Linked DNA regions of Alligator mississippiensis. Each later gene encodes a partner of the first gene's protein in a complex. Links are inferred from orthologs where the notes say so. Each region holds a gene or a part of one and is shown in the gene's direction. Other genes may lie near its edges. The genes, in order: PLXNC1 and SEMA7A.

Region 1 (15,888 bases):
CAACTCTGAGTCTCATAGACTGAGACTAGCCTTCCTTCAGTGTGACCCAGGTCGTTCTAGGCTGCCTCCAGAAAATGTTGCCAACCTCTGTTCTGCATCACAGTTTTGCTTTGCTTTGCATTTTGGTACTTCCTCACCCAACAAATGATAGACAAGCACTTTTGATAGGGCATTTGTTTCTAAGAACATCTATCAATGTCTATTTCAATCATATTAATGGTGGCTTGTTGCTAAAGAAACCATGGCAAAAATGTAGTTGAAATGTGCCTGGAAATTCCTAACAGTTAATGCCTTTACCAAAACTCCACCAAATTAGATAAACACCTATTTTGCAGAATTAATTTTGCTATCATAATCACTGTTTACCATTTGATGGCTAGTCTACTGATGACTAGTTAAATACTGATTTCCCACATTTGCTTATCAGAGCAAGGCCTGGGGCTTATCCATGCCAAAATCTTTATTCACAGCTTTTTGGTCCTTTTTGTTCCCAACTTGCATTAGAGCTTTATTATTTTCCACAGTTGCAATCTACTGGGTGTATAGAAAGCCTCACAACACACTCAGAAAACTAGCATTGCATACTGTGCTACAGCAAGTTGTTTGTTCTAAGTCTGTGCAGTTACTGAATGGTAAAAATTTTAACTTAATATCACTAAAAGACCTACTGGATTATTTGGGAAAAAGTCTCTGACTGGATTATTTTATGAATTAACTGAGTAAGAGAATATGGAAAAATTCAATCTTTCAAAACATGCACACATGGCATGCAATTCTATTACCCTTTGTATGCCTAAATGGGAGTTTTCCAGTAATGGAAATGACCTCTGTGACATTGATGCACAGGTTGCAATTCTATTACTCCTATGAGTGCATGCATTAACAACTAAACAGCTGCTGTGAATGGTCAGTAGGTACATGGTGGCCAGGCATGTATACAGCTACATAGGCACACCTGGAGTACACACACACGTCACAGAATTGTAGATAGACAAAACCCCACTGGTAGTAGATGGAGGAGGGTGGGGCCTCTAGCATTTTAGCCCCAATAACTGAGTGGTTAAGGCACCCACCTAGAAAAGCAGGGTACCTATACATGTGTTCTGATGCATTCTAATTAAAATACATCAGAGCCGATTCAGTTAATCGAGTCTGCCGGACCATTCTACCTAGAACACTCTGGTGTGCTGCTGTGTCACATGTATTCAGCATCCCACATTTCAAAATGGTGGCGGGGTGCTTTAACTGAAACTCGTCCAATGAACTTTAGTTAAAGTGCCTTCATGGCCATTTTGAAATGTGGGGCGCTGAATACATGTGATGCTGCAGTGTTTTAATCAGAGTGGCTGTCCAGGAGCTTCTCTAATTAAAATGCCTTCCCTGCCCCAGCACATGTATCAACACCCCTGGAGACTTGGCTTCTAGTCCACATCCTTTGTTGGAGTTTGAACCTGTCTCACCAACTTCCTAGAAGAGTAGTCTAAGTGTCACACCATGGGTCAGGCGTTATCCAATTCCTTTTTCAGCTCTCCTGAAATTTCAGTTTCAGGGATTTTGACATTGGCGCCCGGGGCAGGCCAGAGTGAAAGATAAGTGGGGCCAGGAGGAAGAAAATAAGCTAGAGAGTATGTGGCTCTCAGAGATTAATATGTTCCTTTTTTTCCTTGTGTCTGTTGTTATGACAATCAAAGATGCAATAGAAAAAATATTGCATGGTAGATTCCCACTGGACCAAATGTCTCTTCCATTCCCAGCTCTTGTGAAGCCCTATGAGGGCATATGGAGTCACCATTTAACTCCCAGTGCTTGTATGGGGCAATATGCAAGACTTACAGGAAGTGGGGTAATGGAGATACCAGCATGCACTTGTCAGAGTCTGGTAACATTTTGTGACATAGACAATTCCCAGGAGAAGGGGAAGAGCAAAGCAGGAAACTGTGCATGTGTTTGTGTGTGTGTGATGTAGATTTACACACACACACATATATATGTACACACACACGCACAGTTAACTAGAGAAACAAATGCAAATAAAAATATAGAGGGGGGGGGGAAAAGATATAAGAAAAAAATAAATAAAGGCCAGAAAATATGGGAGAGTGAGAGGCAGATGAAGCAGTATAGCCACTCCACTGAGAGATGGGATTCAATAAAATGGTAGGGAATTAGTATTCCAGATGGCACTGATCTAAGTCAATTTAGGTTGAAGACTCCTTTTAACATTGCTAGTGAATTCTTCCAAACAGGCTTCCTGGTAAATCACTGTGTCAGTTGCCAGTCTCATTCAGGTCATTTATTGAATTCATTTCATTATGAAAAAAACATTATTTTAAAGGAAAAGAAAAACATTTAATTAGTTACACCTCCTGCCTCCGTCAGATACAATGCTGAAACAGCATATAAAGAAATGTTGACTGCAGTATTAACACATGGTGTTGAATGAAATAAAAAATTAAAATAAACATAATTCATTTAAATCATTTCAGGCAGTAACTTCAGTATCTTGGGTCTTTTATTAACTCAGTGGGTGAACTTTGAGAGGATCACTTGACAGAAACTGTATTTTCATAATCTTTTAAAAACACAACTGAAACTTCTCTGGTTAAATTAAGTAAACTTTAATTAAAGCTAATGGAAAGAGAAACTACCAAGTCCTGCCTTTGTGGAGAGTAATTTTAGAGAACTGAGCATTAAAAGGCAACTGTTACCTGGAAAACTTCAAAAAAATGTTCCATATAGAAGCTGTTTTTCTCATATGTCATGTGTTCATCTTTCCATCTTTTTCTATGATTACTAGAAATTTCTTAACGGGAAAAGAATATTTTTAGACTCCACTCTTCAAAAACTTAATATCTTATAGGTTTAGGCTATTCTGTGTGATCCTAACAGTCTGTTTCCTTGTAATTTTTTTCATAAACAAAAACAAAAAAGGGGAAGTGAAGTTAGGGAAACGTGTGATCTTCAATCACAATATGATAAAATCTATCCAGCATAGCATATGAGGAGTTAACCTCAGTTCAGCCTTTGGCTGTGTAGACCTGCTTAGGAAAAGCCTTTATGGAAGGCACTTGGGAAGTTTAAGTGGAAATAATTTATTTGAGACGATCATGTTCCACTTTGGGGGAACACAGGGCTCCAGGAGTCTTCAATTTACTTTCCGATTTTATTAGCTTGTTTCTGTGCCTTGTTTATAAAATCAAGTATTGCCAGACAGAGCCTGCTGACGGTGAGCTTTTTTTCTGTTAAGTCATTCTGCCAGTTTACAGTAGGGGAAACAGACTGATTGGGCAATAGGAGGTCAGTCTTGCTGCAAAACAAGGCCGGTTGGTCCAAAAAGTTTGGGAGCCACTCCTTTAAATAATCAAGGGACACTCTTTGGTGTGTTTCATTAACTTCTCTTGAAGTGAATAGATATGTTCCTCTGCTAATGAACACAGTATTTGGAATCTGATTTGACTACTAAATGATATAATGTGTCAAATTATGCAATATTAGTGTGGGTCAATTAAGTATGACACTTAAATGCTGGAACTATAAATAAGTGGCCACGGATACTTACAAAGGTCATGAGCTTGTAGAACAGTGAAACTACTTTTGGAAATTACAGGAAAAAAAGAACAGTAACAGGGATTTTGATTTTTCCATAGGCAGCCTGTTCTTATTATGGAGGCACTTACTGTGGAATTCCATTATGCAAGTGTTAGTAACAATTCCATCGATAAACTTAAATTCTGGACTTTAAAGTAGGCATTATTCTTTAGGGATGAAGGTTACAGTATATTATTTTCCAATTTACAGCTCTCACCTTGAATACTGAATGAGTGTTTGGAGTTTTTACAAGTAAATCTGTTAGAGTTAAAATTAATTTAAAATGGGCTCTTAAAGAATTTTAGCACTTATTATCACACCTTTCTTTGTCATGAAGGATCTTAATAATGGAATAATACAGGATTTTCACATTTTTCATAGAGTTAAAGCTTACTAAAATCTTGTGCAGGGGCTGCATTTGAAAAACTCATCCAGTAACCTACATTATTAAAGATTAGCCTAATATTGATGACATTGGCATGCAAAGGAGAGAAAAGGAGACAGAAAGGAGGCAACTGAGGCAGCAACGTGAAATCACCTAAGAACAGATCTTCCTTTGTTTTTTAACTCATGTATATAAGCTCAAGTCCTGAAATCTTTACTGAATTCTCATACAAGCAAAACTTCAAGTGGGTCAGATTCCCCTCTCTGATTTCACACATCCCATTAATGTTGTTATGATTGTGAAGACTATAGACAGAGCTTGAGCAACAGTTCAGGTCACTCTTAAAAGGAGGGGGTAGAACTGCATGTTGTAGACTAACTAAGTCAGAGTGATATAAAGCATAAGTCTTTGTGAGCCTGAGCTGTGAAAGGACATGTACAGAACAGTGTACAAACTCATTTTCCTTCATAAAAAACTCAACATTTGAAGCAAGTTCTACTTATTCTGCAATAATATTTTGCACACAAGAAAATATTGTTATCCCCCACTCAAAGAGAAGGCAAATGGAGACACACTGAGTTATGGGACTTGTCCAAGGTCACACACACGCTTGTAGCAGAGCTGGAAATAGAATTCAGGTTTTGTGCATTCTTTCTCAGTGTCAGTTTGTGACTTAGAATAGGAGGAGCATATTTTAGTTCCATGGAGCAGAGGGGAAAGTGCTATTTCTTTTCTGCATGAAATTCCGAGTTGCTCCTCCTTTTTTATACCACAAAAACTTTTGATAAGGAAATTACATTAAAGAAAGAAAAAAAATGAAATGCTTAAAGAAAACATGCTTTGGGCTCATGATTTCTTTGGTCAGTCCTTCAGAATGGTTAGTGTCACTTAGATGGGCTGAAAACTTGTTCCTTCCTTCCTTCCTCTTTCTTCTCAAACAATGCACAGCAGTGTTGTTAACTACAGAAATCTACTGTACATAAATATTTGACTTTGTGGTAGCATCCTCTTCACTTTAGAGCACTGACCTCCTTTACGCAGTTGCATTATTTGGAGAACTTTTATAGTTAAGTGCTAAATAGCTTGTGATAGTTGAATTTATTCTTTTAGGTCACAGAAGACTCTATATATACCTGGAATTTCCTTACTGTAGATAAATAGAAAAAAAGGAGAAAGCCCAGAAACAACCAACTACTACATTCAAATCTAAAATTTCAGGAGCAGTTGCAGGGGCACTCTAAAGTGAATGTAGAGTTCTCAAGCTTAAGCTACATTTGGTGGTGTCTGTTTTGGGCAGTTCCTCTATAAAATCCTAAACTCTGCTAAATTTGGCATGCAAATGAACAATAAGGAAGAGAGAAAGAAGGCTATTGAGTTGTGGATAGAGAGACATTACTGTGTAAAATGTTAACTCAAGAAGTGTTCTGTTTGACAATGAAGGAGTTACAGTAGGGGAAACAGACTGATTAGGCAATAGGAGGTCTTAGTCTTGCTGCAAAACAAGGCCGGTTGGTCCAAAAAGTTCAGGAGCCACTCCTTTAAATAATCAAGGGACACTCTTTGGTGTGTTTCATTAACTTCTCTTGAAGTGAATAGATATGTTCCTCTGCTAATGAACACAGTTTATGGAATCTGGAATCAGTATTTGGAAACTAAGAAGAGGTCTCACTTCACTTTATCTCACATGCATAGGATCAAGTCCTGGAGTCCTAATTCAGTTCTCACTCAGGCAAAACTCTGAGTTACATTTTGCTCTCAGATTTCACAGGAGGAGACTTCAGGAGTAAATGGGAACTCAATAATTTGTTAACTTCACTGGGAATTATGCTTTAGTAAAGAGTTCAAGATATGGCCATCAACATGTCAAACATGCAACATAAAACAGGCTGGTTCTACTTTGGCAGATTTCTCCACAGGATTTAGGAATATGGAAAGTGAAAATGAAGTAGTATTTTGGATGAAACCATAGTCTTAAGAACAAATATTATATTGTACAGATAAAGAAGTAAATGCAGTAAAAATATCTGTAATTTTACATTTATTTTGTAAACATACATCAGTTGCCCTGCCTCTCATTACTTTTATGCCAGTAAAAATATTTTACAATCACTTGCACAGTACAGCACCTAGTTATATAAAGTACTAGTTCAGTACATTCATTTTCATTTTCCACAATTTCAGCATGAGCTTAATCCAGCTCCATTTCTCTTGAGGGAGGCCTGAGCACCCTCAATAGCTGTAGACTTCCAAAACTTCAACAGAAGTTGAGTTTGGCAGCACCTTGCAGTAAGGAGCAAAAGCTCACTGTAACAATCTGTCAGTTGTCCAAAACAACCTCTGGATAAAAGAAATGTAGCCTACTTTAGACAAGAAGAGGAATAAATAAATGAGCCATACAGTGCCATAGCAAGGAAGTTTGGCACCCAGGGCAAGCCCATAGCAGCAGCCCACCCTTGCCCCACACACAGATCCAAGGGGCACACGTCCCCCCATGCTTGCCTGGGGGTGCACGCAGTGGTGGGAGCTGACCCCTCCATGTCCCTGCGCCCCGCCCAAACAAGCCTCTCGCAGCTCTGTCCTGTGCCCTGCCCTGGCTGGTGCCTGTTGGTGCCCCTTTGCTTTGGCATCTGAGGCAGTTGCCCCACTTGCCCCTCCCTTGCTATGGTACTGGAGACATACCCTGCAAGTCAATGCACTTGAGCTTTTAAGAAATCCACAGAAGAACAGCTTTTAGAGATATTGTCCGTTTGCTGAATGTAGCCTCCCACCTGTGCACTGAGATGTGAAACTAGGATTAGTTAGTAAAGTTCACTGTTGGCCTCATGTCATGAGGTCAAGTAAGCCAAAAGCTAGACTACAAACAGCTTCATAACTTAACACCTTGAACTAAACCAAGAAGCGGATACGAAGTCAGTGTTGTGTTAAGTGTCAAGTGTTCAACCAAGTTCGCACTGCAAAAGCAGTGTATTTCAGCAAAATCAGCTTGCCAAAAAAAAATGCTTACATATTGACTAAGAGCCTAGTTCTGTACAAGAGTACATCTTTACTACTTCACCAGAAGCAGCGTGCTTGCTTTGCATCTCTAGTGTGAAGACAAGCTATACCCGATAACAATTCCATCACATTACATTGCATTTTTTAGGATCTGTACGTACTCTTTCAGTTAATGCCTATGAAGGAGTATAAAAAATAGAGGGTTCTGGCTGTGGGAATGAAATATGTCAGGGGCTCTGATTACTTGAACCTGCAGATCCAGGGCAAAAGTAAGTGTCTCATGTAGCAACTGCTACTGGATGTGGTCTTTGAGGAAAGAAATGTAAATCTGTTGTGCATGTTACACTTCTTGTATGTGAATATAGGGCATGATTCTCATTTAAATATAGGCTACTATATGGTATTTAGCTGTGAAAAGGACCTTTAGAATAACTGGTGCCTCAACTCTAAACATGCACTTTCTTATTTAAGTTAGCCCTATGTCTGCCTCCACTAGGAGATTCCAGTCTCTATCAGGAGAAAACATTAAGATTTTTTTCCTTGCATAGTCACATTTTATTTAGGACTCAGCAAAAATAGATTATCTGCTGCTTGCTGAGTATGTAAAATATGGTTCTGCTTTTGCTGAGTCCCTACTGGAAGTGACCCAGGAGAAAAAAATATTCAACAAGTTATCTCTTTCTGCACAGTTAATTTCAGTGAAATTGCACATTTGCTTATGCAAACATATAGTTTGGAGAAGTTAGATTTCTTTTTGTGCGTCAGGAGGAACAGCAAGAAATTCTGCCATCATGCTTGTTCTACACCAAAGAAATGCAACTTTTTTGATAGAGGTGCAGTATATCGCCATGGAAGACTTGCTGAAAAAACCTTTTATGGTGTGATGATCTGAATTAAAACTGGTTTCTTTTTCTGTTATCACCAGAGAGATAGTAGTGAAGTGACTAAGAGAATCATTTTGAGGTGACTCCACTCAGAGTCCAAGAAGAATTCAATTACTGCAGATTGGATTGGAAGCAAGGGGGGGGGGGGGATGTTATTTGCAGCTGCAAGGTGATTGGAAGATAGGTCCAGGGCTTGGCAGTGGGGCCATGGTCCAACAAAGATTGGGAACCATTGGTCTAGACACCCAGGCCTAGGACGTAATTGTACCCATGATTGCAGTGGAAGTTGAGAAGGCTCAATACCTTATAGAAATAGGTCCTAGCTGAGACCCCATTGCCCAATGACATATCAATTCCTATAGATCCCAGTGGGACTTGTCATAAAGATGGCAAGACTAAAGAAGAGTTGCTGTCCTCACCACCAAAATGTAGGCGTCTCCAAAGAGAATTTAATCTCATACAGAATATGTCAGACCAGGTCGAGACAGGGCATGCAGAATACCGTGTTCAGTGCCACCTTACATCAGGAAGGGAACTTTAGAGTGGCCAGAAGATTGACCTGGAGAGACCCTGGAGATAACCTCAGCCCATGTTTGGAAGATGGTCTTTGTTATGGTTCCATGACATCTGATGAAGTGAGCTTCAGCTCACCAAAGCTTTGTGCTACAGATATATATAACTACCAAAGTAGATGGAAGAAAGAACGAAAGAAATGTAATCTACTTTGGTTAGTGTATAGGGTCCAAATTCTATGTGACTTCAGCTTATGGGTTTTTATTGCAGCCCCCAGCAGCTGGAGCTCAGTTTTATCTTGAAGGTAGTCTTATGTAGAGTTTAGATGATGGGTTGCACAGGACAATTTGGATAGGGATGATCCTGCCTCAGGCAGGGGGTTGGATTAGATGACCCCTGGCGGTCTGTGCCAGCCCTCCTCCTCTCACATTCTACACTTCACTAAAATTAGCCAAGTGCCTGGATTTGGCAGCTCCCAGAATAGACAGGCTCACCCAAAGCTGATCGCGGCAAAGGGTAGGAGGCCACAGCCAAACATCAGTGCAAGTCCCAACTTGGGCATGGAGGGCAAGCACCCCACAGATCAGGGATGGGCAATTATTGTGGGCAGAGGGCTGCTTGGCAGGAAGCTCAGGGCAGATCAGTATTAATTTTCTAAATGTTTTAGGGGCCCCGCGGGCGAATAGAATGGCCTGGCAGGCCACATCCGGCCCTCGGGCAGCATTTTGCCCACCCCTGCCACAGATGCTGCCGGGGCAAGCTGGGGATCTGTGATCAAAGAAGCAGGTGACAGGCAGCTCAGAGGAAACTGTGGCTCAGCAACCATTCACTCACTCCCGGGGCCACTTGATCATAGAGTCCATCCGTGAGTCCCAGGGCCGGAAGGGGCCTCAGCCGACCTCAAGCTGCCCCGAGCCCGCCACGGGGAGAGCAGCCCCTGAAACGCTGTCACGTTGTACTGGAGGGGGGGCGAGGCTGCGCCCAGGTGCCTTCTCTCGGGCTCCCCGGGCAGCGGCAGCAGCGAGCGGGCTGTGGCGGGAGCCCGGCCCACTGCCGGCCCCGCCGCGGGAGAAACTCCCCGCCCGCAGGCGGCGGGCGCGGCGGAGGCAGCGCGGCCCCTCCCGCAGCCATGGGGCAGCGGCGGCGGCAGGCGCGCGGAGCGGGGCGGCAGCCGCCGAGCGCATGAGGCGGGCGGGGAGGGGGTGGCCGGCCGGCCTCCCGCTGGCCCCGGCGCTGCCCCTACTGCTGGCGCTGGCGGCGGCGGGGGGCTCGCTGCTGGCGGGGCGCTTGGCGCTGCCGCACGACATCGAGAGCCTGGCGGTGCGGCCGGGCGCGGTGCTGGCGGCGGGCGGCAGCTGCCTGTACGAGCTGGAGCCGGCGCTGCGCGGGGCGCGGGACGTGCTGCACATGGGCCCGGCGGGGCAGTGCGCGCAGCCTGCCGGCGCCCACAGCAAGCTGCTGCTGCCCTACGGCACCGACCGGCTGCTCGCGGGCTGGACGCTGCACCACGGTAGCTGCCAGCTGCTCCGCGGGCTCAAGGTGGAGGGCAACCAGAGCCAGGTGGTGAGCTGCCTGCCCCGCGGCTCCACAGCCGGCGTCGTCTTCCATTGGCCGGGGGGCGAGAAGTCGGGCGACTACCTGGCCGTGGCCGCCGTCTACTCGCTGGACGGGCAGTTCAGCTGCGGCCTGGTGACCTCGCAGGCCAATATTGTCCTCACCATCCGCGACCTGGGGAACCTGATGCCCATGGACAGCTTCGACCCGCTCAAGTACAACAAGACGCCGCTGCACTTTGTGGACGCCTTCTTGTGGCACGATCACCTCTTCTTCCCCTACTACCGCCTGCCCCATGGGCCGCCTAGCGTCGTGGTGCTCAACACCAGCCGGCATTTCCAGGCACCTAGCCAGGTGCGCCTGAGCTGCGGCTGCCGCAGCCACATCCTGGCCTCCAGCACCCTGCCGCAGCAAGGGTTTTGGGCCGCCGTCTTTGCCAACCAAACAGAGCGGCCGGCCTGGGCCGCACCGGCCTGGGACAACACTGCGCTCTGCCTCTTCGACCTGGCGTTCCTGCGGGACGCCAGCCCGAAATGTGTTTCTGACTTCAGCCCCACCAGCTGCGTGAGTCTGCACTTTGCTCCCTTCGGGGCTCCGGGGGGCTGAGCCAGGCTGGCCTCTTCAGGCCTGGCTCCACCGAGCGCTCCTTCATGTGAAGAGAGGGGCTTCTGCCCCGCTTCTCTTTCAGCAGGGCTGCGCGTGAGTGTAAGGCACCAGCCAACAGGCAGTGGGGATAAAGTGTGCCCCACCACATGGGGCAGAACAGCCTCACTATCCATTCGTATTAAAGCCAGATGGGTCGAGGTCAACATTTCATAGAAGTAGGACGTTGGCTCTCATGGTTCCCCTGCTTTACCTGTGGCTGCTCCAGGTGTAATGTCTGTGTTGTGTTAGGGTTGAGGGTAGGCATGTGTAGAGTTTAGATTATGGCTTTATGGGATGATTGGGATGGCAATGACCCTGCCTCAGGCAGGGGGTTGGACTAGGTGCCCTCTGGAGTCCCTTCCAACCCGACTTCTCTATGACTCTATGAGGTGCAGTGAGCTGCCTACCTGACAGCTGGAAGAAGCCAGCTGCAGAGTTGTACTGCAGCTCTTTTTTTGTGGGCTTGCCCCTTCTATTGTGTGGGTATTCGTTCCTTTGCACACATGGCCGGGCTGAATGTATTGCACCATTCACCCGTTCATGGTGTGATCTTTCCTTTGCAGTTTCAGTTTATTGTGTAGGTGACCAGTTGGTTGCAGAATGATATGTAACCTTGAGCACGGGCCTTAAGAGGTGTTCTGGTGATGCCAAAGAGAAACTTGATGCGCCAGGCTTCCTGCTCTCTCCCTGATGCTTTCCATGCGCGTGAGATAGCTTGTATCTGCTGCTAGTCCCTCTGTGCTTCAGCATAGGCTCACAAACAGATTGAGACAGACAAAGCAACAGTGCAGGGTGGTAGGGTTGTTGGGGCTCCCTTGCATACATCATTCCCTTGTGTACCACTGGCTACTGAAGTGTTGGCTGTGGGAATAGTTGTATTGTTTGTGGCTGTCCTGAGGCATACCTGAATTATCCTGTGGAGAGCCCCAATCAGCCCCCTCCCCCGTCCCCATGCAACGCTATTGCCTCCACCCTCTGAACAGTTAGGCATTCACACATGGAGTGGAAGGTAGGAGTGGCAGTTTCTGGTTGCTGTTTCCTGGCAACCGGAGGAAATCAGCTGAAAAATTAATTCAGAATGAGATGCTGTTTTTGCAAGGCCACTCCTCATGTCAGAAACCCTGACCTTCTTCTCTCCATGCATATCCTGAGGGCTGTGGCTAATAGAACAAGGCTGAGAAAGTAATGGGGACAGCCACAGGGGACCTGGCTTCCAGAAAGAGAGCCCTGGCAACCTCCAAGCACCAGGGATTCTGCAGCCTTTGTGCCCTTTCTCCATTATAACCCGTCCTTCACTGACCAATGCTGTTATGTTGGTTGGAACTCCTTGAGAAGTAGAGTTACCATCACTGCTTGACTTTAGATACCAGGCCCATAACTTGGAAAGGACCCTGAGATTCATTTAAACAATATCAGTGATTGTGTTACAAAAATGCAGCAGTGTTAAATTGTATCCACGTCCATACAGTATTGTAAAAAAATAAGAATTGTTCTTTATTAGTATTAAGAAGGGTGCCCCTACGGTGATTAAAATATTGTGTTGCCCTAGAGGTATGAAGTGGAGCTGTGCTTTGGATTCATGTGAAAGGCTAGTTTCAGTTGACCCAGCTGAAGTAAATGGGTATTTGGTTGCTTGAGCAGGAGAGTCAGGGGTGCACAAATGTCATTGCTAGCCACCTCATTCCTTTGTGTACCATTGGCTACTGAAACCGGTGTGCTGTATCCAACACTATCCTGATGGGCTGCTAAGCTTAGGTGGATAATGCCTGCCTGACTACTGTTATTTTATTTTATCCCAATGGTATTCCTTTCTTACCCATTTATGAAAGGGTATAAAAATTGCTTCCAAAGCAAGTCAGAGAGAGAGAGTCAAAAAAGCAAAAGGTTCAAAATCTGCAGACACGAAATGCATAACCTGGCAGTCCGTACGTAGAATTTCAATAACTTTGCAGCAGTCATAAAGGAGAGCCATGTGCCACAACACATCAGCAGGTGCATCACAGATGTGTAGAAATGGAGCAGGCAGCGATAGTTTAAACTTAGCTTACACCCCAGCCCTTTTAAAAATCTCTCTTTATATCTGGCTACAGTCATGGCAAAACAAACATATTGTACTGCTATCACTACCTGGAAATGGAGGTGTAGAAAACTTTTAACTCTGGGGACTCATTGGAACAGAGGGCTGCCAGAAAGCTCTCATACATAAATATGCATGTTATAAGTCCCGGTGATCTTTACTATTCATGTTCTGAATGAGATGGTGTAAGATGGTGCAGGTGTGTTAATGAGGACACAACAATACATTATATTTATGCAGGGTGGGATGGATTTGATTTCAATCAAATCAATTTAAATCATGATTTAAATCACTGGTCAGGAAGCCTCGATTTAATAATGGTTTTCTACAAAAATGCATTCTTGTTGTTTGAAATCCTTTATTCATTTAACTTCTTGAAACTTTGCACTGTCAGAGAAAGGTAGTGGCTTGACTTTGTGTACACAAACTTGCAGAGAGACAAGAGGGTCAATGGGTAGGTAATCAGGTCTGTTATCTCTTATCTGCATATGCTGTTCTTAACAGGAATGTTATCTCTGGAGAGACAAATCCAGTCTGAGAACTGAAACTAAGCATCACAGAGAGAAAATCATAGAAAATGCTTAATGGGATCTTCTAGACTGAGCACTGAGTCCCATTGGGTAGAGTGGTTTCTTGAATCTTTAGTAATCTATAGAGGAGCCTCTGAGAACTCCATGAGATTGAGCCCCTAATATAGTCCATGGCCTGTTTTGACCTATTTAAGGTTACATGAATATATTGTCTCAACTAATATATACTGTAATTAGAAGTTATAATCCCTATTCCATCATGATATCTTTGAGCTTTAACATATTTTAAATTAAAACGATATTTATGTGGGTTTTTTTTTAAAGAAAGCCTCTTAAAAATAAAAAGTATGATTAAATAAAACTGATTTTAAATAAAAAATCTTTTTTTTTTTTAAATCATAGATTTTTATCCACCCTGATGCAGGGTCTGAGTTTGCTTTTTTGGTGTAAATTCAGCCTTCAGAAAGAACATATAGTAGTCTCATGCTGCAGCTCTCTCTGCCTGCCTTGGATATGAATCTTTTTTGTCCATATACACATTGCTGTTTTCATTTGCTGATTGTTGCCAGCACCTGATTGCTGTTAATCACAGCAAAGGTGCTGTGGTTCTGATTAACGTGCAAAGGATCCATCTTGCTCAGTGTGCTATCCAGCAAAGAGTTTAAGCCAATTCTTAACTTTATGGGCAGTAGCAGTTCCATTCACTTCAAAGAAATTACTTCTGTATTGAAAGTTAAGCATGGATGTTAGTGCTTTACTGGAGTGAGGCCAAATTTCTCAGCACCTTGCCAGACCTAGTCTTGTGTGCATGTGCTGCCTGGTGCAGCATTGCAGCACTTGCCAAACATAATTTGTGTTGTGGTGTTAGTATTGGGTTTAAAGGTAGCATGAAATATTACTGTCTCATTGTTTGTAGTAAATACTGAATGAGAAAAGCCCTTATTAGATTGCTGTCTGTTTAATACAGCCACAGAGTTATAACTGTAGGCTTCTGCCCATATAACTGTAGGCTTCTCAATACTTTTGCCCGTATGTTCTTTGGAAATGAATGTGTTGGTGATGTGTAGTGCCTGCCCCTGAATTTGAGACATAATTGGGAACGTTGAGTGAAATTCTTAGCTACTATAAATTGGCACGGGTCTGTTGAAGTCAGTGTTGGAATTGGTAGAGCAGCACCCATTACCGTGAATGGAGAATCTGTTTTTTTTAACTTCCAGGTATGACATTTTCACTTGTGTGATAGCTTGTCTGTTAGGAGTCAAAGTCTTTTGTTTTCAAGGAAAGATTTTTAAGTTGTTGAAAAGCCATTTGGAGTCAGGATTGTACCTGTAATGAATTTTTTAGTAGCCTAGTTATCCTTTGTAGATTACCAGACTGACAGTGTTACATCTGCTGTTTGACAGAAGAATAGGCTTCCATAGCCAATATATTTAACTTGACATTGCTATAGGAAATTACCAACATTGTCCCTAGCTGTGATGATTTCTCAGTATGTCTCTATTGGTGTGGGAATTAAGCCACGGGAGTCCTGTAAGCTCTCAAATAATCAGTTTTCAACAAAAGAGTAGCTCTGAGCCATCTGGCTTGACCAGGTGTTTTTGCCTGAAACTTTTGAGAGAGTATTAAAGAACTGTGGAAGCAAGGATTAACTTCCTTGAAATCATGCAGCAGATGGGTGGGGATAGTTAAGTTAGAAGGAAAGGCAAATTCCAAGTTCTTAACTCAGTAAAAAACCAGTCATGTCATTGCCCAAATACTGTCCTTTGCTATTAATTTCTTGTAAGTCCTGGCTGGATTGCTTCATTTCCTACTGTACTATGAGGGGAACTATGGGTAATGTTTTAGACAGATTTTTTTTTACAGTCCAGCTTTGAAATTTTCATGGGGATAATTAGAATATGTTTAGCTTAGGACAACAAACTTAATTCTCTGATTTACCTGGAGCTAATTCTAAGTGGAAATGTTTACTAGTTAATTATTTTGAGGGAATGAATTATATTCAAGGAAAGGGAATCTGTTGCCTACTTGATGCTAGTTTACATTGAGAACATGATGTTGACCTTGTTTGACTGCAGAGCAGTAAAAGAAATGTAGAATAATTGGCCAGGTTCTTGGTAGCTGTAAATAAATACTGCTGCAATGAAAGTTAGTGGAGCTGTTGCTTCTTACACCTTCTAAGGATCTGATTCCATATCTGTACTTAATGATCTGCTGCAATAAGTTTGCCACACAAAAAGGGAAAAACAGTCCTGACCTCCAGGAGGTTATATCAAAAAGTATTTAAATGAAATCAAGGCAGAAAATAAAGGCATAAATTAAGCAACAGCAGCTGGATTCCTAGGGGAAGAAATCACAAATAGAATATGTTTGAGGGAGAAATGATGGAAATGCAGGGTCAAAATTAATTCAGGAGACATCTAGGTTGTGGGGAGGGGGTTTGGGGGGGGGTTGGAAGTAGAGAAGCTTGAGCAGCATGGGATTGAAGAACTACAATGAGCTGCTATGTTGGACAGGATAGAGGGACAAGAAAAGAAAGAGTGACCACTACCATATAAAGGAAGCTTAGACTGTAAATGAATCAAAACACATTTTGGTTAAGACAGAAGAGGCCTGGGAAGGTCCTGCAGTGCTGTAACCCCATTAGTCACAGTAGATGAGTAAAAGAGATGGTTAAAATATAAATGCGTGTGATTAAAAAGGGTGGGAACGATGAAAGGA
Region 2 (16,035 bases), on another chromosome or scaffold:
CCCACCCTTCCGCGTTTCATAGAAATCAGGATATAAAAATGACCGCACAGATAATCATTGTATTCACCTGGGGAAACCTGGCAGACCAAAAGCATGTAGCCTATGTGGTTTGGGTACCTCCAGTCTTGAGCAGCAGCTTTGGGGAGGGGGTTGGGTGCCTAAATCCACATCAGGCACTGAAGTCCTTTTGTGGATCCAGCCCTTGAGTGCTGGGGTGTGTTGTTTCCCATCTGCTCAATGAGTAGAACAGCCTGCCCCACTCCCACATGGGACTGCTGCCAGGATAAATGCATAAAGAGTGCATGGAGTTCACACACTATGGCAATCAGCACCGCGGATGCGGTTGGTGCGCTCACTCCAGAAGTGCATTCATACATAAACATGGTGCAGCAGAATCTCTTGTTCTCAGAAATCCTCCAGGCCTTCTGTTTTACAAGCCATTAAATATCTCCCCTTTTGCCCCCATGAGGTGTGAAGTCCAGGATTAATCTATATGCTCCGTTTCCCTTCAGTCATATTAATCTCTTGGGGAATTCGAATGTCTTTCTGTTGGCACCATCAGAAACAATATTGAGCGTCAGCTCTGATAAAGGTTTAACTTTGCCTTTCTCCCTTCAGTTTCTACAAGCCTGTTGCTTTTATGTTCTCCCCCACTGGCAGGGCAAAGGCCCTAGGGGAGGAAATCCCAGTGATAACTATGGGGGCCTTTCCCAGGAAAGAGATCTTTCCTGATCTGTTAACAAGTGCTGTTTTTTGACCAAATGAATGATAAGAACAATGCGAAGTATCAAGAAGACAATCTCATGGATTCCTGACAAGTGGTGCGGTCTCAAGCAACAGAGACAGATACAGCCAGTTGGCAGTGTTATGCAGCTTACAGGTTGGTGGGACTTCTCAATACGCATCCATCCCAAAGCACATATCCTGCCACTGGGACCACTGGACGATCTCCATTTATTGGTAATACCAAGCTTTAAGACGCCTACCATTGGGCAGGTCTGATTCTTACACCCCTTACACAGATACACATATACTCCCCTTTGTTGCAATCTAATTAGAATATGACAAGAACCAAGTGCCAATGTTGCCCACCCCCTTCTATGAGAGGACATTTATCACACAGGACATGCCACCCTCCTGCCACCCAACACTCAGCTGCAGAAGAAGGGCATGCTGCCACTTTTGTTTGCCATGGGAGAAAATTTCCCCTGATATTCTTCTCAAGCTGCTTTGACCTGAATATGGGACACAATTTGAGACCAGGACACACTTGGTAGGCTTGTGTGGGGGAAGGATAGTACAGCTATTGATGTCCCTCCCTGTGATTTTCAAAAATAAAGCTATTTATAGTCCATGAATCTACATGGCTTTAACCTGTAATAAAAGAGCTGGGCAGTAGTGATTTACCTAGTCTAAAACTAACGCATTTAATTCATTTACTTTGAAAAGGGGCTTTCCTGTGTTACTTTGGATGAGGTATAATTAAAACATCAGACGCCTGGTCCTTTGTAATCTTCACACAGCAATGTCTGCTGGAGACAAAACAAATTCATTCATTGGAATTCATTCTTGCAACTGATGTTCCAGCCTGTGCTAGCTTTCTCTCTAATTAATTTGGAAAAGGGCAGCTGGAGGCTGCCAGCCGAGATGCTCTGGTTTATCATCGTTAGCGTGTTTAGTTTTTGATCACTTCCAGTGCAGCTAGGATGGGGGTTTTGGTGATTAAATGAAAATAAGCATTATATGTTAAAAACAATCCACACATAGTGATTCTTTGATGTCTGCCATTAGGGAAGTTTGGGGAAGTCCTGATTTTGCCTGCGAATGTTGGAACTCAGGCTGGACTACAAAGGCATAAGTGGCCCAGTACCGCACTGTGGGGCAGCAGCAGCGCACGGTGCAGGAGCGATCGGCAGAGGTTTCAGTGCTGTGTGGAGACTTCATTTTTCCAGTGGTCACTTCCATTTTTTTGCCACCAGCGCATGTTGAGCAGCAAAGAAAAGGAGGTGACATCTCAATGTGCGGCTGCTGCTGCTCTGTTCTACCTGCATCCAGCGCTACTGCAGGAAAGGTGCAGGGTCTGTGTGTATGGGAGGAGGGAGAATAGGATGAGGTACCCTCCTGTCTCTATTATGGCCCCCCCACTCCTTAATGCCTCAGGCCCATGCCATCCTTGCTCACTCATCATTACGTTACTGCCAGACTGCATGGATTTAATCAACATAGCATGTCATACTTGCATGAAACCAACATGTGAAGCTGTAGGGTTTTTTTAAGGGAAAGGCCAAGAGTCAATTGATGAATGGCCATTTGAGTGTCTGGTATCTTCAGCATGTCTCAGTTCCTGTATTTCTGCTTTGATAATGCAGGGGGAACTCAAGCACCTGGCTTATCTGGTTTCGGGCACCTCGTGAGAAAAAACAGTTTGGAAAGAGCAGGTTGCTCTGCTCGGTGTGAGCATTGCATTAGTTCCATGATTTTTTTTGACAGCTGAGCTGTGACCATCACAGCAGGATGGTGATTTAGCACAAAGTCCCGTGATCTGCCCAAGCTCTGCATAGCTGGGGAAAGGTGAGTGCAAACCAACTCTACATTTGCTTGTCTTGGGACAGCCCACAAGCTGATCTGGTCCCCAGTTGTCAACCCTGTAGGGCTCAATATTATATTGATGTCTCTGGTTACAAGAGACCATTGTCATAAATCGGGGACCCCTTTTCCAATTCACATCCCATTAGGATGGAATAGCTGTGCGTTGGCCCAGCCTCTAACCTACTAATTCTGAGGCTAATAAAAACCATGGATAGATATTGGTGATAGGGCCAAAACCCAGCTTTTAATGGAAACTGGCTTTTCAGTGCTGTAAAGTGCTTTGGCATCTCTCAAGGAAAGGAACTGTAGTCCTTAGGATCAGTCTGAAGGCAGAACATTGTATGGGACTTCAATATAGGACTTCCACCTCACCACCCAGCAACTTGGCTGATAGGTGTGGTTTCCAAACCATGAGATGCCAAGTTTTATCCTTGGGTGAAGCCTTGGGTTTTGTAATGTGGCCTAGCACAGTAAGAGCAGGAGCAGAGATCAGGTCTATTTGTACAGCTGGAAACATGGGCCTCCAAAGGGCAACTCAGTAGCATCTCAGCTGCTGTTGCTACTGGCTGTTTTAAGTTTCTTGTTCCTCCTGGCTGCAGTTACTTACTCCTTTCTGACAGGGGTGGCCAACCTGTGGCAGGTGTCCACAAGTGGCACAGGCAGCCTCTGTGTGTTACACATGGTTTAGGAGCAGGGAGCAGAAAGCAGAGCAACAGATCAGGCCGAGGAAGGGGATCAGAATTGCACGCAGGGAGGGTGCAGGGTTTATGTTGTGCCACACCTGTCAGAAAGGTTGGCTCACACTGCCTTAGGGCTTTCTCCATTGAACTCATAGGGAAGACTTCCCTTACATGCACCTTGAAGCAAATGCTGCTTCTGGCCCAGAGTTAGCAAAGCACATAAGCTTGTGCCTAACCTGAAATCTGTAGTTAAAGGCCCATCAAACTTCATTCTCTCCTGCATTAGGCCTTCAGTACCCTGCTATAGGACCATGGGATGAGCTCCCTGTCTCTGATAACTCACCTTTGTGAGCTCCATGATAAAAGCTATTTCACTGTGCAACCAGCAGGGGACACTAGCCACAGGAAAATTGCTCTCAGCAGGGATTTTTGCCTAAGTAACAGAGTTGGTTTAATAAAAGATATCAGATTTACCCAAAGAACCTTGCCTGCCTGTGTCCTTAGACCAAAACGGCTACAACCAACACCCCAGGGTAATATTCTGACCCTCTCTCGTTGAACATAGGCAGGCAGATCAGGGACAGGAGATAGGTCTGCTCATAAGTCCATGCACAGATCTGGAGTGCTGAATGAGGGATTTATCACCCAGAAGAAAAAAACACCTCCACTGAGGAGAAACAGGACAGACGAGATTTTCAGAAGCAATGATCATTTGCATCTGAGAATTCCCCCTCCTCTCCTCTGGCCTGTTTAATTGCATTACAATAAAGGGAACCAAAACACATGAGCAAAACCCTTCTGCTTCATTAAATTCTAAAATCTGAACCAGCTGCCCTGGATTTGAGCCCTCGAGTTAAAGTTTCATTTTCTTAAATGTCCACAGAATAATTTCCCTCTGTAGACTGTTTCCTTGTAGTGTAGTTGAAATGTCATCGTCATGCATTATCATGAGTTGTGTGCGTCTTGCAAAGGCCAAGATAAAAATAGCAGATTTAGAGATGTCTGAACAAAGTTTTCCCAAAATATATCTAAGTTGCTTCCTGCAACCTTTGTTGTTTCCCTTTTATTAGTTTCTTTTCTTACAAGCAGCCAAGTGAAATATAATCAACAGGTAGACAAAGGCTCTTGCAAACAGAGAACAAAATTAGGGTAAAATAGTTTGGTAAGTTATACGGACCCCAAATTAAGCAGCATTGAGCCAATACTCAATGGTGTGGAACTTGAAATGGTCCATTCAGGCATTCAGAAGAAAGAAAAGGACGGATGTAAGCTACGTACTGGGCTAGTGTGGTTAAGGTACACCAGTTTCTGGTGCTAACCATTCTGTCTGACCATGACATCCCAGTCTAGGTGCCCACTTTATAGCTTGGTTGAAGGGAGAATGGCTTTTATGTCACAACTTGAACTCTTGCTTCTGGATTTATAAACCCACATCCCTCCACTTAGAAGAGAGCTACGTAAATCTATACAATGACCTGGAAATGAGAGCCTTCCAAAGAAGCAATTTCACAGTGACTTGTTGGAGGGCAAGGCTATACCTCCATGTTGTATGTATATGTGTGTGTGTTTATAAAAATAAAATATGTGTGTGTGTGTGTGACTAGAGATGGTCTTGGATTAAAACCCCTTGATCTGAACACTCTCAAACATCTATAGAATGTAAAGCTGGATATCACTGACCACAACCACCTACTCAGTGCTAAGATAAGAATACCTGGGTATTAAATGCTCAGATGCATCTAAGTCAGGGAAGAGCAGATTGCTGTTATTTTTATTACCAACAAGAGGAGAATCCTAGTTCATCCTGCATCCTAAAAATTCTCCAGCTACAAGTTGGTAGATTTCTTTAGACTGTGGAGCTCTGGAGCAAATTACCAATTACATCAGGTAAATGAGGAGTTACCCCCTTACTGGCTGCTCATGGGTCTTTAATGATTTCTCCTTGATTGCTCACTTAATCCACCTATTAGACTATTAGCTTAAATGTAATCCCATTGCTCTTCCAAAATTATTTGTTCCGGTGTATGACTTTCCTTTATTGGTCCAACAGGCTAATATTAGCACAAATTTTCTAAGACATTTTCCTGTTTATTGATACATTTTCATGGTCAATCAGGTGAGTCTGACTTTTGCAATGCAGTGAAAGTAATGGATGGCTTAGGTAATAGATTCATAGATGTTAGGGTCGGAACGGACCTCAATAGATCATCGAGTCCGACCCCCTGCATAGGCAGGAAAGAGTTCTGGGTCTAGATGACCCCAGCTAGATGCTTATCTAACCTCCTCTTGAAGACCCCCAGGGTAGGGGAGAGCACCACCTCCCTTGGGAGCCCATTCCAGACCTTGGCCACTCGAACTGTGAAGAAGTTCTTCCTAATGTCCAACCTAAATCTGCTCTCTGCTAGCTTGTGGCCATTATTTCTTGTAACCCCCGGGGGCGCCTTGGTGAATAAATACTCAACAATTCCCTTCTGTGCCCCCGTGATGAACTTATAGGCAGCCCCAAGGTCGCCTCTCAACCTTCTCTTGCGGAGGCTGAAAAGGTCCAGTTTCTTTAGTCTCTCCTCGTAGGGCTTGGTCTGCAGGCCCTTAACCATACGAGTGGCCCTTCTCTGGACCCTCTCCAGGTTATCCGCATCCCTCTTGAATTGCGGCGCCCAGAATTGCACGCAGTACTCCAACTGCGGTCTGACCAGCGTCCGATAGAGGGGAAGTATCACCTTGGACCTATTCGTCATGCATCTGCTGATGCACGATAAAGTGCCATTGGCTTTTTTGATGGCTTCGTCACACTGCCGACTCATGTTCATCTTGGAGTCCACTAGGACTCCAAGATCCCTTTCCACTTCCGTGCCACCCAGCAGGTCATTCCCTAGGCAGTAGGTGTGCTGGACATTTTTCCTCCCTAGGTGTAGCACTTTGCATTTCTTCTTGTTGAACTGCATTCTGTTGTTTTCTGCCCACTTGTCCAACCTGTCCAGGTCTGCTTGCAGCTGTTCCCTGCCCTCTGGCGTGTCCACTTCTCCCCATAGCTTTGTGTCATCTGTAAACTTGGACAGAGTACATTTCACTCCCTTGTCCAAGTCGCTGATGAAGACATTAAAGAGTATCGGTCCAAGGACCGAGCCCTGCGGGACCCCACTCCCCACACCCTTCCAGGTCGAAGCCGACCCATCCACCACGACTCCCTGGGTGCGACCCTCCAGCCAATTCGCCACCCACCGGACTGTGTAGTCATCCAAGTCACAGCCTCTTAGCTTGTTCACCAGTATGGGATGGGATACCATATCAAAGGCCTTCCTGAAGTCTAAGTATACGACATCCACCCCTCCTCCTGTGTCCAGGTGTTTCGTAACCTGGTCATAAAAAGAAACTAGATTGGTCAGGCACGATCTGCCTGCCACAAACCCATGCTGGTTTCCCCTCAGCATAATTTGTCCTGCCAGGCTCTCGCAAATGTGAGCCTTGATAATTTTTTCAAAGACTTTGCCAAGGATGGTGGTGAGACTGACTGGCCTATAGTTGCCCGGGTCCTCCTTCCTCCTCTTCTTGAAAATGGGGACCACATTGGCCCTTTTCCAGTCCTCCGGGACTTGGCCCGTATGCCACGAGCGTTCAAATTTTCCTGCCAGTGGCTCTGCAATGATGTCGGCCAGTGCCTTCAGAACCCTCGGATGGAGCTCATCCGGGCCTGCCGACTTAAACGCATCCAGTTCTTCCAAGTGACTCTGCACCATCTCAGGGTCTACGCATGATAGTCTGGCGCCCTGCTGCTGCCTCTCTACAACCCCAGTGAGAGACTTGTCTTGCCCCTCACTTAGGAACACTGAGGCAAAGAACTCATTGAGGAGTTCAGCCTTGTCCCCCCTGTCCGTCACCAATTGCTTCTGCCCATTTAGCAGGGGCAAAAGAAGTAAGTACAAGGCAAAACCAGAATTATAGTGCTTAAGAACAGAAGTATGAACACGTGCAACTTCCAGGTTTGCAAAACTGAAAGTTTTAGGTGCAAGCAAAAATTTAGCTTCTGGTTATTGTGCAGGACTGGGAAATGATGTTCATGTTTCATGCTGTTGAAATACGGTCCAGATTCACATGTAAAATCAGTCCTTTTGTGCTGCTTTGGCTGTGTAAAAGGGGCTTAATGAATTATATTTACAGGTCCTCAACTGGGTCCTTTCTTCTGCAAATGGCTTTAAAAGGATATCTGGAAATCTGTGAACTTGGTCTAGAAATGCAGCTACTTCTGGAGTGGAATGTAACAGCAGCATAATCATTTAAGGTTGAAATGGAAGAATGTCGTCTGAAAGTGGAAAAGGGAGGGCCTTTGCATCCCTTAAAATGTAATTACCTAACATGTTATTTGTAGAAAAAGAGATGGGAACAGCTTGCAAAGAAGTCTTTTGGGGGCTTAATGTTCAGACTTCAGTTGACCTTGGTTTTCCATTTACTGCAGGTGTTAACTTTCACTAGTTCACATAAGCAGGGTGTTCTTCATTACAGTTTCAATATTACATTTCCAGTGGGGAGTCTCATCTTCCATTCAGTATCAACCATACTTTGCCCAGATCAGCATTTCTCAACCCGTGGATCACGACCCAAAAACAGGTTGCAAGAATGAAGGGGTCAACAAACTTTAAAAATGGATCAAACTTTAAAAATGAATTCCCCTTTTAAAGGACAAAGACACAGGAACCTTTGGCTTTCTGCCTGCAAACTGGCAGAGTTACAGTCTGTAAGGGGCTGTTTGCCCCCACACACAACCCCCCACCCCACACACACTGGGGGGCTGGGGCCTGGGGGCAGTGGGTCAGGACTGGCCATCAGTGTTCACAAATGGGTCCTGGTACAAAAAACGGTTGAGAACCACTGACCTAGACAACAGTACCTAGCTCTCACAGTGAGTCCATCACCAAGCCTTTTATAAAAAAGATTGACATCACTGCCCCCATTTTCCAGACTAGGCAAGCTGAGGCATGGAGAAGTGAAGTGACCAAGGCAGGAGTAGAACCCAGGATCTCTGAGCCCCAGCCCAGTAACTTCTGCCTCCCCCACATAAAGCATCACCAATTTTAATTTTCAATTAATTTGATTTTAATTTTAAATTTTAATTTGCAATTTAATTGCAAATCTTACCAAATTTGGAGCTTTTTCTTAAAGGGCCAGACCCCAAAGTCATGCAAATGTATCAGATCCTTAGCTTTCATTAGGAACACTTTCTAGTGTTCACCTTCAGAAAAGTTTGACATACCTTCAAGGGCTATAGGGCAAAGAAAGAGAACCCTAAACATACTCCAGCATTGTTGGTTGTAGCCATGTTGGTCTGAGGACATGGGCAAATAAGGTTCTTTGGGTAGATACAATATTTTTTATTAGATCAACTAAACAGCTGGAAAAAATTGTTCTTTGCAAGCTTTTGGACACAAATACCCTTTTGGACACAATCAACCGTGTGTTTGTGTCCAAAGCTTGCAGAAAACAGTTTTCCCAACTATTTAGTTGCTCTAATAAAAGATATCACATCTACCTAAACATACACCTGAGTTTTAAATGCCTGGGATCCATGGTCCTGGAGAAGCAGGCACAGGGCTGTCAGGTGTCCCAAAGCACTGAGAAATGTCCTTTTTTGTGTCTCAGTTACAGCAGATCTCTCATGTCTGCAGCTGGGGTTGAGAGTCCATTGTTCACCTGGCTCTGGCCACTGAATCTGCAGTGAGGCAGTAGCTACTCCCTATTTCTCATCAGTACCGGTTCCCAGGGCTATATCTGATTCTCCAGTACTCTCTAAGGAGTGCCTTAAATTGCTCCTCCTCCTCTCAGCCCCACCCTTCACTTATTCAAATACTGTACACTAGCGCAAGCCTAGCAAAGGGCTTCTTCTGTGTTCTGCTTCTCTGAGTGCCAGAGATGGGTGCCAGCTCTCCAGCAGTCTTTGCTTTCACCCTGTGGACCAGCTACCTCTGGCTCCTGGCAGCTGGGCACTCCAGGGTGAACCCTAGACTCATTGTCCCTTTTCAAGGTAAGTGTCAAAAAGCATTTGTCTGTGACTATTGTGAACCTAGAAATGTACAAGCAGACAGTGTGATTTGCAAGAGAAGTAAAGAGCAAAGCTCTGCATTCTGAGCACTGCACACATCTGGATGTTATTTCCATGCAAAACCGTTATAGTGGACTTGGTCTTAATTTGGCTCTAGCTCTTCCAGAAAGACAGCCCTATGGAAAGGAGCCAGCCTGTCTTCTATCTTACGAGCTTTGTGATTTTGGTTTTTTTCCCTCTCCTAATATAGATTTAATCCCTCTGATTTTTTTTCCCTCCTTCTACTTTCTAGAGATGATCATTCACTTTCTTAAAATCATAGAAAATGAGGGTTAGAGAGGACCTCAGAAGGTCATCTAATCTACCCCCCTGCTCAAAGCAGAACCAGCCTCAACTTAATGAGACCTTTTTATTTTATGAGTTTTGTGATTTCCACCCCCCCATTTAATTTAATCCCTTTGATTTCCCCCTTTTTTTCTAGAGGTGATCATTCACTTTCTTAATGAGATCTTTATGTTTTATGAGCTTTTGTGATTCCCACGCAATTTAATCCCTTTGATTTCCCCCACCTTTATTTTCTAGTGCTGATCACTCGCTTTCTTAATGAGACCTTTGTCTTTTGGTCCATTTCCACATAAAATAATATACTTAGGACTGCCAATAAGATCAGTTCCTGAAGATTAACTGTTCTTGTCACACTGATACAAAAGAGGCTGCAGTTGTTGTTATTAATAATTATGTTTTATAGAGTGATTAGTTTCCTATTCAGCTGAACGATTGTGTCTGCTGTCTATGTATCAATTTGTCCTTGTAAATGCTTAGTTTAGATCTCTTCCTGTGGAGAAAAAAAATAAAACCAAGGTGAGTGGTGCATTGCCAGTGTAACAAGGAGATGGGAATATAAACTGAACAAAGTGGAAGCAAATGCCTTGTTTGTTAGAGCAGGTTATACCAGTGCATGCAAAGAAAAAGATTAAAGCATCTTTCAAGCTCATCTATCAATGTCAGAGGAGGGTGCTCCTAGGAAGCACTGCAGTGTTTCTGTTGTTTTAGCAGGGGCTGTGCTGAAAGTGGAAAGCTCTTGTGCCTTTGTGATACAACCTCCTGGCTCTTTGTTGAGTGAAGGGTATGTTTGCACCCTGCTTGATGGTCTGGTTCATTAGGGACCATCTGTTTATTCTTCAGCCACATGCTCTTTGTAATTAGTGCTGCTTAGAAGGAGCTGTAAACAGAGTATTGGGAACATGGGGTGGGGGGAGGATAGGCTGGGGGGGGGGGGGGATTGTGGCCTGTTATATTGGCATGGGAGATGAAGTCATTCAGCACTGGGGATCTGGGAGAAGGTGCCATTAGCATCATGCCTTTGTCTATCAAATTATGCAAACCTTAATGGGGGAGGGAGAAAGCCTTATACATAGAGGAGAGGGGAAAAACAGTTCCTGTCTGGGAAATGTAGTTTCTCTAGAGACAAATGAGTGAGTGATGTTCCTGTTAAAGGGATCTAAGCAGCAAAAAACCCTTCTCAAGCAGGAATCCTTGCAGTGGAAAGAGCAGCCTGAAGTGATCAGGTTTCTGACACCTGCTTCTTGCTCCCTATATGTACTTGTGATAGGGTTATTTAACTGCTTGTTTAATATATCTGTGCAGTAAGCCTGGCTTCCTGGCACCAAATGCAGTCTCCTGTGATCGTCTTCACTAATGAGTGATAAGAGGCTTTATGGCAAACAGACATGCTGAGGTCAATCTTCAGTACAATAGATACAGGACAGGGAGAGATCTCTTGGATTGTGGGGTGTGTTGGCAAAGGGCTGGGCTCAATCCCATTATCTAGTCCTATTAATAAATGTATCTAGTACTATCTTAAAATGCATCCCCCCTCCCCCCGCACTTTCCCTTTATACTTTTACTAACAAGCTGCGCCGGGGTTTTGTTCCGTTTCTGTTAGAAACGGGGCATTTCATGCAGCCCTTAAAGTAATACAGTTGGGTCTAGCTGCCTATTGAAATCCTTGGGGTCAGCATTCACTGAACAGCTGGGGATCCAATGATATGGCCTAATTAAAGATAGCACTGATGGGCTGTGCAAGTCTTGCTGCCTGTCCTCTTTCATAGCAAAGCCTTTGCAGGGGTAGCCTGGATGCCTGAGGAAAAGGAGGTCAAGGGGAGCAAAGCAACTGTAGTGGTTGATTGTCTCTCTCCTGGCTGCATTGCAGCTATTTAGGTGATAAGTAGTTTGGGGCAGGATCTGGCTTCTGTTTGGGGGAAATGCCTGGTAGGGTTCATCCCTACCTAATACCTGTATCCCTGACTTCACTGCCAGCATGGGGACAAAGCTACCCAAGGACTTTCTGGCTCTGGAGATGAAGGGTGAAACTCTCTGCCGGAGCTGCAGCAACCCCAGATCTTGCCAGCAGTGAGCTGTGCTCCTAATGCCATTTGCACATGGAGGGCAGGGCTGGGAGAAACTTTCCCTGCAGCTGCTCTTCTCCCCTGCTCTAGGGAGAGGGCTCTAGGCTTCTGGTTGTTCCTTTCCCCAGTACTGATTTAGTAGAGCTGCCACAGTACAGAAAGGGAGCTGTATCTATAGGAAGACGGCTCTAGTGTCCTCCAATATGGCTCTGGTTAGATGTGGGAGCTGTCCAGGTTGTGTCGGGATATAAACCGGAGTTGCTCTGTTGACTTCAGGGAGTTAGGCTGATTTCCTGGTCCCATCATCTACAGTGCCCCTGATATTAGTGATAGTGATGCTGTCTCCAGAGGGATCAGTAAGGGAACACCTCGTGTTGTATGCTGAATCCCGTCCTTCGCAAAGACACTGTCAGTGTTTATAGTCCCCCAGTATCAGATCCTTCCTTCTTTACCTTTTCCACCCCCAGACTTTCTCCCATTGATTAAATCTTTCCTCTTGTGAGATCATCCTACAGCCCTAGAACAGGGAGGATCATTAATCACAGGGACAATTTGCCTAATGATTGTGGTAGAGCATCTATACCTGGCAATTTGTTTAAAATCAAGAGTGGTTGCTTGTCTAGAAGAGGTGCTCTAGTTCAGATAAATCTTGGTTGGTCTTTCAGGCTATGCGGTGGGTAAGGCTAGACCGTGGCATCTGTCCCTTCTGGCTTTGAGCTCTGCATCCTGGCTGTTACTGCTGGGTGACCTGCACAGAGCTTTAAGGGAAGGTGCTAGGAGGAGGCACAAGGTTTTTAATCCAGTGTGGCATGCCTGGGACTGATGCTGCAGAGGAAGGGAGGGAGTCTGACAGGGTAAGGAGTGCAAAGGATCCATTGACTCCAGAAGCACAGGAGTGTGCTTCTGCCCAGAGCTTCTCCCCCAAATATATAGGGAACTTGGGAGTCCCAGTGCAGAGAATGGGAGGCTTTGTTTGACATGCATTCTCAAGGGGGGACGCTGGCTTTGGAAACCTGGCAGGAATAACCGCTTGTCTCTAAGGCCTTAAACCCACCCTGGTATGGGGCTCCAGGATACCTCACTTTGACCTCTTGTGAGGCTGGAGTTGAGCCTGACAGCTGTCCTGTTTGACTCCATCCTTTGTGCTGGGGTCAGGCTGGCTGGAGAGCCCTGCAGTGACCCAGGAAGGACTGAGAAGAGAGTCCAGAAAGCTTCCATCTAGTTTTCCAGCTCGCACTTAGATGAGCAGATCCATTGGCCAGCTATATCCATACAAAAATCCCTTAATTAAGAATCCAAGACACCCCCCGCCCCCCGACAGCAGCCTGCTTCTGAGTGTCATTAGAGCAGGGCACAGAGGCACAGTTTAAATGCTCCAGTGCAGAGAGGTGCTGGTACCACCCAGGCTGCCTGCCCATCACATAGGAGACATAGGGTGGTACGAGAAAAGCAGTACAGTTTCATGTTAGCTAGGGGGAGAGTTTCTCTGCCCCTCCTTGCCAGCTAAGGGAGGTCTGGTGCAGTTGACTCGCATTTCTTCTTGCAAGTACAGTGAGGATTTCTTTATTCCCAGGAAACTAGTTAGGTGAGGCTCTTGGCTGGCTTTCATTCAGAAAAGTTTTGAGCTGTCATAGTTTCAGCAGATAGCCTGAAAATGAGATTGGAATGCAGCTCAGTAGTATATAGCTCACGAGTTCTGGCCATAACACAGCGTTCCCTGTTTGCTGTATCATGAGATCTCAGTCTCATGATGTTGGGGCCCTGATTTTTGATGGTCATGCTGTTGGTTGGGACTAAGCGTTCTGAGTGATTTGATCTTCTTCTGACCTGCGTATTGATAAATCCAGTCCAAATAAAAAGGTCTTGGGTGGGGCTGTAATTCTGCCTTTATTATACAGTCCCTGACTGATGTGGCTGGAAGTCAATGGGGTGGACTGCCTCAAAGCAATGATCCTGTTTAAGAAAGAGAAGGAGTCCATTCCCAGCTGGAGTTGGCTTTGGGATTCCAAGAATGGCATGATTTCTGAGAGGACGAAAACTGGCCATTTCATCCAATATGGAAAGCAGATGGTTGTGAAACTGCCTGAAATGGAGCAGCCTGGATGTCAGCCTGAAATCTGGCTGAAAATTGCGTCCTGGTTCTGATACCATTTTGGATGAGCTGAGTGCCAGCTGGAGCTAAGAAGCAATGCCAACCTGTCAGGGCATAACATGGCCTGGCTGGGTATGTGCAAGTAAAGACCTGGTCTGTCATGCCTGGGGGTTGTCTGGGGCTCTTCAAATGGTTTTTGATGCCCCTTAGTGTTCTCCCTGTCTACTACAGAAGCCACCACAGCCCATAGCCTGGTATGTAGTTGGTGAACAGCAACTTGAAACCCAGCTGTCTGCTAAGCTTTGTCCTCCTCAGTTGTGGGATCAAAGGCATTTGAGCCAAGCCCGGGATCTGAGTATCCCTCCAAATGTGGAGGGAGCTCAGATTTTGCTTTGGATGGTGAAGCTCAGACTCGCTTCTAATGATTAGGGCTCCACATCTCCCTCCAAACATTTGGCATTAACCATTGTCAGGAGAATAGACAAAGGAGGCCAATGGGTCTCTTCTGGGTGCATTGAACCTCCCGTTGTCCTAGTGAAGGAAGATGCGAAGGTCTGTTGCAGACACCGTAACCCATCACTGGACAGAGATTTCAGCAGTCTCACCCTCTGCCAGTGTAGAAGGAAGTGTTTCCAAGCTGGTACATTATGTTCCTTTTAATATCCCCCTGCCTTTTGGCACATTTTAGAACTTAAACACTGGCCAGCTGGGCTTCGCTTTGCAAAAGGTACATTCAGATCCTGCGCTGAGCCTTGGCTCATCGGATCAGTCACAGGTTTACATTCTGATTCTGGCTTCAGAGACGGAGAGCGTTGAATGCTATGTGGGGCTGCGTGTGCAGGGCTGTTTCATGGAGCTGGGAGATGATGGCACCTTGTCCATGGAGCAGGGGTGTGGCTGCATCTTGGACATGGTGTTTGGTTCTCAGTGCCTCATGACTACCATGCCCATTGAGTATTTTAGAGATGGATCAACGAAAAGCGAAGGAGAGATGTGGGGCTGGAAGACCTGACCAGAGGTCACCCTCTTCCACCTGATCCAGTTGGGAAAATAGCTAGCTGTGGAGGGCTAGTCTAGATGCATTACAGCAGTGATTCTAGCCTCTTCCATGGAGAGACTAGTGGAGGGCTTTGCACCTCTCTAGCCAAGACCTCTCTCCCAGTTGAGCATCATGGGATGGCTCCCATGAGTGTCTTCTCCTGGCAGGTTTATGACCCCCATCAGCTGGTGACCCACCTAGGCTAAGTAGCAGGGTGCTGGAATTGTTGGTGATGATGGTTGGCTTTATTGACCAACATGCCTAGATACTACTGATGTCTGCTCTACAAATACAACACCAGCCCCTTTAAAATAGCTGCAGCAGGAGACATGAGCTGAGACACTCAAAGATGGTCCAGACATGGGTGTGGGATGGAGTAGGCTCCACAGCCACCGAAGGGCTCTTCCAGACTGATCCATTAATAGCAGGTATCGGCCTCCAGGTCTCTGTCCTACTCCAACGTCTCCTTTTTGTAGGCTCCATGGGGGATCACCTATGTGATTCGTAGCTGCCTCTGCTCAGGAGAGCTCTGTGCAACTCTCGACCCACATGAGGTTGGCAGGGCTTGGTGTCTGAGGGGTTAAACAGCAGAGATTGAAGAAACCCACATTTCCACACCAGCAGCAGATGGTCTCTGCCAATTTAGCTGCTGTTTCTTGGCCTGTGTTCCCTGTGGTACAGATCTCCCGCTCCATCTCCTTGTGCTCAGAAGTGCTTGGCCTGGCTCCACAAAGCAAGGGCACCATGGGTTTGCAGGGCGTGTATCCATCCTCCTGGGGCTGACCGATGTGGCTGGCAAGCAATGTGAAAACAGAGGGCAGCCAGAGCCAGGAGCCTGAGTCATGTTCCCAGTGCTGAAGGCTGCTTTTTTCTGCAATAGACTGCTGTGCTCCTCTGTTTGCCCAGGAGATGGGAGGTGAAGGGCATGATCCTTCCCTTGGGGGAGAGTTTGACCTAGGTGGCACAGAGCTTCAGCCTTTCTGGAAGTCCCTTTCCTGGCAGCAGTTGGCACCCCTCGGGGAAACCCCAGTGTAATAGGGCCCCCAATCAAAATATTCTTCCCCACCTCATATAGAGTTAGAAAATGAAGGGAGTGATTCCTTTACCCCTCTTGTGTTATAAGAATACAACAACGGAGAAGACTGGAAGGAAGTCTCAACATGTGGGCTGCTTCCCAGGGCACATAGGACTTG

The links.
Region 2: the proteins of PLXNC1 (region 1) and SEMA7A are in contact, whole or in part, in a crystal structure (PDB 3NVQ), measured with the Homo sapiens proteins. The link is inferred for Alligator mississippiensis from reciprocal best matches to the Homo sapiens genes PLXNC1 and SEMA7A. Residues at the interface, in NP_005752.1 of Homo sapiens: Arg131, Thr151, Glu152, Val153, Asn195, Pro196, Ala197, Ala198, Ser199, Asp200, His201, Thr203, Ala206, Lys208, Arg213, Ser214, Leu215, Ala216, Thr217, Gln218, Glu219, Leu220, Arg222, Lys224, Glu272, Ala350, Ser352, His353; in NP_003603.1 of Homo sapiens: Gln194, Tyr196, Asn197, Gly198, Lys199, Arg202, Arg204, Tyr213, Ser215, Asp216, Thr217, Gln270, Gly271, Gly272, Glu273, Ser274, Ser275, Leu276, Val278, Ser279, Lys280, Pro372, Thr375, Glu376, Phe378, Gln379, Asp382, Arg383.

Annotation. Positions count from the first base shown.
Region 1 is NC_081827.1:88,306,419-88,322,306, forward strand, and holds the start of PLXNC1 (plexin-C1), read left to right. Parts: upstream 1-9,462; 5' UTR 9,463-9,546; coding exon 9,547-10,482; intron 10,483-15,888.
Region 2 is NC_081834.1:41,939,795-41,955,829, forward strand, and holds the start of SEMA7A (semaphorin-7A), read left to right. Parts: upstream 1-9,112; 5' UTR 9,113-9,173; coding exon 9,174-9,285; intron 9,286-16,035. UniProt on the Homo sapiens protein: Plays an important role in integrin-mediated signaling and functions both in regulating cell migration and immune responses.